Linked DNA regions of Daphnia pulex. The protein of the gene in region 1 interacts with the protein of each later gene in a pairwise test. Links are inferred from orthologs where the notes say so. Each region holds a gene or a part of one and is shown in the gene's direction. Other genes may lie near its edges. The genes, in order: protein phosphatase 1 regulatory subunit 12A-like and ataxin-10-like.

Region 1 (4,505 bases):
TTATGATTAAGTGTTGACACAGGTAGAAAGGCTCAAAATAGGTTTACCGATGCATAAGGGTTGATGGATTCTCCATTGGCAATCTTTGGCCTGCAGCATGAATCATAGCAGGAAATCAGTATACCCATAGTGACGCTTGTCCCATTCGACGAACCTTGAACGTTCACACACAAGAAAACAAACGTCACTCTATAGCCGGAAAACAACTCAAAGTATATGTAAATGTTTACTTTTCAGGATGGGCCAATGTTGGTCATTTTTATGTGAAACTGGGAACAACACACGAAAACACGATTCGGCGCCACGATTATAGGGTAAGAATAAATAATTAAGATGTCTTTCTATCTAAACATTTGACTATTTGAGTGATGGAGGAGCGGTCTGCTTTTGTTTCCCGCTGTCAGAGCAAGACGGGTAAAGAGCAATAACAAGACGCAACAGGAGGATGGGAATATCCAATAAGAATTTGGCAACGCTCGAATATCAATTTTTCTTATCTTGGGTTCTTCCTCTTGTCTTTGAATTATGCATTAGGAAATTTAAAACGAACTTGTCGATCCAAAAGAATTCCATTACCGCTTCGTCTACAAAATCAATGTTATTCAAATAATTTATGGCAATCGAACAATCGGGTAGCCGTCGATTGCTAAACCATCAAAAGTAGAAACCTGGAAAAGGTTTTTTCATTATTTATACTGACATCAACTGCCATCTAATAGCGCAGATAGCATTTTAGGAGTTTAAAACCATTTCTACATCTTTCATCTCCGATTCCCTTATGGGAAAAAAAAATCATTCAGTTATCGATCAAAAACTTGTTTTCTTTTCCCTTTTCTCCCTCTACTTGGCCGCGTGATGGATCGGAATCCACATTTGGGAAATGCGGATAGGAGGCAACAAAAAAGGGGAAAGGGAGAAGGAAGAGAGAAACTTTGAAGATGAGTTTTATTTGGAAATGGATTGGCTCACCGGCTGTTGTCCTGCATCGTATTTTTATTTTCTATTTTTTTTTGTGGGATGGAAAGTGAAGTCATGACTGTTCGTGATGCCCAAGAACGGGCCGTTGGGTCAAGTGTGCGTGAGTGCCGGTGCACATACGGTCGGTTCCCGGGATCCGAATGTAAATGGAAAATGGTGAAGAAAAAAAAGCGTCTTGTCTTGCTCTGCACGTAGCGACTTGGCAACGCTGGTGAAAGCACCAAATGTTAAGTAAAGGTGGCGAGATTATCGAAAAAATTTCCTGAATCGATAGAACTGCCGCATGGGAGGCGCTAGTTGTCCATAGTTGGGCCCTTTTATAAACATTTCGATGGAGTGAATTAAAAAATTGTATGTGTCATTCATAAATGTTTTTGTTTTATGGGAACAATTCGTCGAATTTCGGGATCCGACGAAAAGATCTCATTGTGCTAGATAAAATATTCGTAACATCTTAACATATAACACGAGAGCTCTTTAGTCTTCACCCTCTTGTGAATAGTCAGCGCCACCTGGGAGAATTTCCAGAATAGCATGATGGTAAAATCTGTGGCGAGTGTACCGTTGATTCTTAGTTCCATGGGGGAAAAGTCTAAAAATAAAAACAAAAAAAAAAAAACTGAAAAAAAGAGGCCAAGATGGCGACGTCTGCTTGAGGCAGAATCGAGTCTCTTCCCCATCTCCATCCATTCATGTGTGTCTGTGTGTTGTAACTAGACGAAACTCGTGCCAATTTGGTGGGGGCGAAATATCCAGACTGCGGTCTTCTATCAATAGAAGAAGCCGCGTAAAGGATAGTCAGATATCGCCGGCCGGGAAAGGATTTAGATACAGTGTGTGCCTTCCCCGACGTGTTTATACAATAGCAATTGGCACCTCCCGTCTTCCACTCCCTTGTGTTGTCCTGTGCCTTCTTTCGCTCTCCTCCGATCTCTGAGGAGAGTCACATTCCCTTCAAGGGATCGGAAAGTGCCCGGGTTGCATTCTACAGTGGCTTACGGTTGCGTTGAAACGCCGCCAAAAACATGGAGTCAAGAACAAATTCAGCCCTGTTTAAGAGGGCTGAACAACTGAGAAGGTGGGAGGAATCAGAGACAAACAAGGAACCTGCCTCAGCTCGTGTGGTTTCAAGGAGAATCCAATTCTCAGATGGATGTGTATTTCTCTCCGCTTGTGCTGCCGGTGACAAAGAAGAAGTACTCAAACTCATACGGCAAGGAGCTGACATAGACACCCCCAATGTTGATGGTTTAACTGCGCTGCATCAGGTCAGTTTTGTTTTGGCCCTGTCAACAAACCATTTACGCCAGTCGTCTGACTTTGAGGGTTGTTTTCTTCATACAGGCCTGCATCGATGACAATTTGGATATGGTGGAGTTTTTGGTGGAGCATGGAGCTGACATCAATCGTGGAGATCATGAAGGCTGGACTCCTCTGCACGCCACAGCCTCTTGTGGATTTTTATCAATTGCCAGGTACTTAACATGACTAGTTTTGATGCTCGCACAATGCTAAACAACAGCTGTTTGGAATTATGAATTAGGTACCTGATTGAGAACAAGTCAGATGTTGCTGCTGTAAACAATGACGGTGAACTCCCTATTGATATTGCTGAAACAGAAGCCATGGAAGAGTTGCTTGAACGAGAAACACAGTTGCGAGGTAATAACAAAAACAATAACACTTGAGCTCACTTTTCACACGACACTACTATGGATTTATGATCAACAGGCATTGACTGCGATGCTGCTAGGAGCCAAGAGGAACGACAAATGCTTGCTGACACTAGTCGGTGGCTGGAAGGAGACCCGGCATCAGCTCGACTGCTCCAGCCGCACCCTAGAACCGGCGCTACTCCGCTCCATGTCGCTTCAGCCAAAGGTTACATCCGCGTGATGAGCATGCTCGTTCAGGGCGGAGGCGAGCTGAACATTCAAGACATTGACGGCTGGACACCATTACATGCGGCTGCCCATTGGGGACAGCGTGAAGCATGTCAACTCTTGTGCGAAAACATGGCGGACATGGAGGTCCGCAATTACGTGGTACGATCCAGCACGCCAACAGTGTGGCATCTAAAACCCGAATTCTCTTCATTTATTGTGTATGTCCATTCGTTTAGGGTCAGACTTGCTTTGATGTGGCCGATCCTGACATCATCCGGTTACTGGAAGAATGCAAGAAGCGTCAGGCCATCATTTTACGAGAGCGGCCAGAAGTGTACAATAATCGAGGCAACGCAAGGAACCAGTCACCACCCAAGAGACGGTGAGATTTTTTAACGACATTCTTGCAATTGTCTCTCGCCCTGGACTGTTTGTTTATATTTCCTGCGTTTGTTTGCTTGGGACTATTGTTAGATCGTCGGTCACCCGTACCCCGCAAACGGAGAAAGCTGCCATCCAGGCTTCGTCCAAAATCACGGATAAGGTTCCCGGTGCCGTCATCATGGTCGACGAGGAAAAAGAGAACAGCAGTGGCGAACTATCCTCGCCCGTGGCCCCTCTTGCCGTCCAGGAGTCCTTTGATGAACGAGCCAAACCTGCCACAACCCCTGCCACAACCACCACATCCGTCCCGACTTCAACGAAAGATAATTCTCCTAGAGTGGTAATCGTTTCCTTGTCTAATTTCAGCTCGGATTCTGATATTAATTTTCTGGTTTTTATTTTAAAAAAAGACTTCGTCAAGCGGACCCCCTTCACGTCCACCACCTCCACCGGCCACTGATGTGGACAACCTGCCTTCGTCTCCATCACAGCAATCGGGTCAAATGATTGAAACCGAGGAGGATGTTCCTTCTTGGAGAAGACCTGGTTCTTTCCGGTCGAGGCAAGCTGGTAGGCAAACGCTCATGCAACTTGGAAATGTTTCGTGTTTTAATTTCTAATATTTTCCATCAGCCAATGCTGCCAACGGCAGTGGAACATTGAACCACACTCCGGTCAAATCGGAGCGAGAAGGATTGAACCGGTCCATCTCTCAGCCTTTAACCCCTGTAGCGGCCGTCACGTCTTCTTCCTCCGCCACCCCTCAATCTTCTTCTACCACTTCGTCCAACCTCGCCTCAACCGCCTCATCCATCTCCTCGTCCACCTCCGCCTTGTCTACCGATACGGAAGTCACACTACGGAGAGCCCATAGTTTCGAGTCCGACGAACGGTAAGGATTGTGGGTGTTTGTCTGTGCAAACAATGACTTTATTTTAACCCTTGCACCGATAATATTCCAGCACTTAACTCATTAAAACAAACGAAACCATTTGATTAACAAAAACGGGTTTTTCCATCACACATTGAACGCGCATGGTCGTGTATGTGTTTGTGTGTATGTGTCCGTGCTCGCGCCGTAGATTTTATTCGCGGCTGCTGGAACTGCGGCGACGGATCAAGGCCAATTCCTTGCCATTGCTGGCAGCCTCGTCGCTCACTCCGATCGTGAGCGGCGGCAGCAACAGCGTTGGGGAGGATGTCAATGGTGGAGGCCCCACTAGTACTAACACTATTCATTCAACCAATAACCGAAGC
Region 2 (4,247 bases), on another chromosome or scaffold:
CTTGTGGGTAGCTGATTTGAGCGTGAATCAAGTGTTGCAGCAAGTGGATGACCAGATTCGTGGATCAATCAACGGAGTACAAAGCTCAATGAATATGATCTTCGACACAGTCAAATTTCTTCTAGTCATCGCTTGTCCTTGGCCACAGACATTTGGCATTCTCGTCTGTATCTCCTTTTCCGCTATCTGTGCAGGGTAATCCTGATTTAATTCCTTTTAACCATAATTCATACATGTATAAAAATATTCACTTAAAAAAAATTGCACAGATGGAGTTTCTTCGCTTCGTATTCCTTCAAGAAACGCGGACATTTGCTGCCATTCCATAAAGTAATTGATAATATTCCGCCGGAAGAAATTTACCAAATTTCAGTGGATCTGAAAAACGAGAAAACCGATGAAAATTCAGCGGTCCGTCGGAATATTCCATCGTCGCCTGAGACAAAACACGACAACAGCCCTTCGTGAACATGTCGGTTACTTACTAGGAAATATTTTCTGATTATTTAGTGACACTGTTGTAACAAATATTTTCAGATAAGTGCATCTGCTGGCAGATTTACATAAATTGGCGAATACCATCATTGTTCGACTTTGTATACTGCTAAACAGAGAGCTGGGAGCCATTCCTTCATCAACACACTAACACATAAGTATTGAATTAGACCAGCACACCAATATCTACAACCTCCATAACTGGCTAAGCCCTAAATTGTATTAGCGAGGTTAAATGTTTGAAATTCGATTAATTTATTGCAGATCAATGTTGGGTTACATAAAATAAGACTAACGATCCCAAAAAGTGCAATATTTATCTTTGTTATTGCGTTTACTGTTATATTAATTTGGCATTTTATTAACATAACTGCTTCTGATTCAAAATAATCAAAATATATTATACTTCAGCGTTATCTTGGAGTAATTTCCTTTGAACATTTACCACATTCAAATTTTTTTCATTAATTTCCTTTTTGCTTTAATAGTGGAGTTACGCAACATACTGTAAATATTAGTCAGATATCCTGAAATACAGTTTATCGCGACGTTGGGAATTTGGGATTGACTATTGTATCAACAAATTTTTTAGCGTTCAGCCTTTTGGTAAGTTTGGGAAAGAGTCAACAAAGTGAACAGGTACATTGAAATGCAACCCTTGATGCAATGTATAACTAACTGCTCTGCTCGGTCGTTAAACTCACTATAGTTCCCATAGTTGATCGCTATATATAGTGAATCGATGTATGGCCGTATGGGGTTCCGGGTACGTATCAGTTCATTCATCAGTATATAATTCTGAGAACAGCCAGTCAAATATTGTTACTGTTTAGTAATTCGTAATCGATATAGAAAAATGAGTGGGTATTAAAGACGACCCATTCGAGGTTACTTTGGCTAGTAATTCCTTTCAGTTTATTGCACACTCACGCATAAGCGTAGCTTACAGTTTGTTTACCCATCTCTTTTAAACTTTGGACTTGTCCGAAGGTTATGAAATTACTTTAGTTAATTAAAATAAGTACTCGAATCACTCGAATTCAAATTTCGCACCAAAATTTCAAGCGCTGCTTGTGCATTAGGAGTGAAATTGGCAACCAGTTGGCAACGTTGGAATTCAACACAACAAGTGTTTATTTTGATTTCATAAAAATTGGTTTCGGCTGCTCTCATTACTGCAAAACCAAAAAATCGATATGAGCAATTCCTCAAAAGATTCATTTTGGACTGAATTAGAATTCAAGTTAAAAGAAGGGTTAGCTAATCTTAATTCGTCCCCTACCGATCATCAGCCCATACTTAACCAGTTACAGGCATTAACTCAGCAGACAGTTGAAGATGACTTTAGGTATTAAGTCTTATCATACTCACATCTTAACTGTTTGATTGATTTTTGGTTAAATAAGTTTAGGTCTTCAATCCCAAATGAAATTTTGCAGCTTTTGTTGAAAATCATCCAGAGACCAGTAGGTGTTCCCTTGGTGCTTGAATGTGCCCGCATTCTCAGAAATTGTTGTGGGAAAAACTGGGAAAGCTTTCCTGACACTTGGAATCAGTTGCTCAGTAAATGCAATCAGCTACTAGAAAGCTTCATATTAAAAGAGTTTCCAGTGGAAGAGATTGTCCTTGCCCGTGTAATTCTTCAATGTGTTGGAAACATATTGAACACACATACAAATTTATCCCACATCATATGGGAAAGTTTTCAATCTAATTTAAGGTATGACTTATGAAAAACAAAATTATTCTATCTAGATATATGATTTCAGATTATCTGTAGTAAATTGCTTTCCCATGAAGATGAAAAAATAAGCTTATACTCATCTTCTGTCATGTTCGGTGTGCTGAGAAATTCCCTCACCATTAGAGAAGAGTTAACAAACCACAAGTGGAGAGATCTGACAGCTGAGTTGATTTTGTCTTCTCATAAAGGAATTCTTTATTCGTAAGAGTAAAACAGTTTCAACATTTTTGTTAAACATTAATAAATATCGGTTACATTTTTTTACAGACAATTTGCAATCAAACTCTTCATGTGTGACCAAAACATGTTGGAAAATATGTATAACTTTCAAGAAATACATACAAGACTCTTACTTCTTCACCAGATTTCAGAATTCTCTCCAGAATGCGAAGACATGGACGTTCAAAATTGGCAATTTTTCAGCCGATTATTTCAAGGTTTGAAGGAAATCTACCTCTTGGTTACACAATTTTAAATTATTAATTTTTTTTTTAGAAAGAGCTAGCCTAATTTTGCGAACTTGCGAGAATCCCTCGTTGGATCTGGAAGCCATGGAAGCGACCAGTCTTGTTGAAATCCTAGCTAAATCTTCTTCTGGTGATGTTTGTCATCGAGAACTTTTTCTGGATGACGATCTCTTAGTTACAACTATTGGTATAACTTATAACTCCTTTAAAATTGTCGTAAGAATAATATTCTTTTCGCTTTGTCAGACTTACTACGGAGCATACATAGTCTGGGCCAATCAGGATCAAACTATTTTACGACTATCAATGATCATTTTGGATCGGTCGAACCTCATCCCGCCTTGAATTTCAAATGTAATTTGGTTCGTTTACTCGGCAACTTAAGCTACAAGAATCCTTCTGCTCAAGATCGAATCCGTGAACTCGAAGCCATCGCCCCACTTCTAGAGTGCTGCAACTTGGACGCCCGAAACCCTTTCATTCAACAATGGTCAATCCTGGCAATTCGAAATTTGTGTGAGAAGAATATTGCAAATCAAGAAGTGATCGGCTCCATGACTCGGCAAGGAGTAGTCCAGCCTTCCCTGTTAGAAGATCTAGGCATGGTGGTGGAGGAATCAGATTCTGGGTTGTCTGTTCGACCTTGTGAGGCGAATCGAAAGCCCTAATCCATCGAATTCCATACTCATCCATTGTGTACAGTGTGCAAAGTGCAAGTAAAAATGGAAGTTTCTGATTTTCAAATGGAAAACATTAAGCCTACCTTAGTAAAAAACCATATATTTATCTATCCTATAGTACCCATTTCGCAACCTTGACTTGTGGTTTGCGCTCTAGGCTATGGTTTCTTCTACCTATTTTGGTTACAGTTGTAATGCATAGTTTTATTAAGGATGTGGGAATGACTGTGTGCTGATAATTGTGGTTCTCATTGTTTGTTTTTGGATAATGCAACGTAGTACGAAGTAAATTTTAATCTGTTTTGGGAACGTTGGTGGTTAAAGTAACCGTCGTTTTCCGAAAAATACTAGTGACTTACCGTCGGTCGTCTGTAAGTCATCTTATGGCCAAAATGGATCTAATCGCCAATTTTTTTAAATTGCTGCTAATCTATTTTGCTGGTGCGCCGCATGCGGCTCCGCAATCATGGAACTGCTCAACTGGTACGGGTTTTTGCATCTTGATTTCTGAAGAGCGCCGTTCTTGGCACGACGCTTCCGATCACTGCTACCAACGCCATGGAGGACTTGCTCATTCGGACCATTTCGAGGTATTACTTTGATTGATTAAGTTTTTATTTGGGATTATATTGATTAAGACTTGTAATTTTTCTGCATATAATAGCTGATCCTTCATTCCTCGATTTGGTTTTCATCAGAAATGTTGGTGTGGACAGGTTTGGGGTGGGTAGATGGACGGCTCCAATGGATGTCTCATATACCACGTAATTTAAATTTTTAAATAGCTAAGCATTGTTCTTCAATGGTTCGCGCTACTGTTTTAGACGAGGAAACCAATATCAACGTAACTACCTTTTATGC

The links.
Region 2: the proteins of protein phosphatase 1 regulatory subunit 12A-like (region 1) and ataxin-10-like interact in binary tests that used the Homo sapiens proteins (3 or more experiments, as listed by UniProt). The link is inferred for Daphnia pulex from reciprocal best matches to the Homo sapiens genes PPP1R12A and ATXN10.

Annotation. Positions count from the first base shown.
Region 1 is NC_060023.1:10,247,669-10,252,173, reverse strand, and holds the start of protein phosphatase 1 regulatory subunit 12A-like, read left to right. Parts: upstream 1-1,580; 5' UTR 1,581-2,003; coding exon 2,004-2,246; intron 2,247-2,322; coding exon 2,323-2,453; intron 2,454-2,521; coding exon 2,522-2,640; intron 2,641-2,709; coding exon 2,710-3,023; intron 3,024-3,100; coding exon 3,101-3,246; intron 3,247-3,338; coding exon 3,339-3,588; intron 3,589-3,658; coding exon 3,659-3,818; intron 3,819-3,881; coding exon 3,882-4,140; intron 4,141-4,330; coding exon 4,331-4,505. UniProt on the Homo sapiens protein: Key regulator of protein phosphatase 1C (PPP1C). Mediates binding to myosin. As part of the PPP1C complex, involved in dephosphorylation of PLK1. Capable of inhibiting HIF1AN-dependent suppression of HIF1A activity.
Region 2 is NC_060026.1:12,002,827-12,007,073, reverse strand, and holds ataxin-10-like, read left to right. Parts: upstream 1-1,551; 5' UTR 1,552-1,691; coding exon 1,692-1,843; intron 1,844-1,906; coding exon 1,907-2,215; intron 2,216-2,275; coding exon 2,276-2,440; intron 2,441-2,506; coding exon 2,507-2,676; intron 2,677-2,734; coding exon 2,735-2,893; intron 2,894-2,952; coding exon 2,953-3,374; 3' UTR 3,375-3,695; downstream 3,696-4,247. Other genes in the region: solute carrier family 40 member 1-like, read left to right, coding at 1-195, 270-468; uncharacterized protein LOC124205851, read left to right, coding at 3,770-3,976, 4,051-4,150, 4,211-4,247. UniProt on the Homo sapiens protein: May play a role in the regulation of cytokinesis. May play a role in signaling by stimulating protein glycosylation. Induces neuritogenesis by activating the Ras-MAP kinase pathway and is necessary for the survival of cerebellar neurons.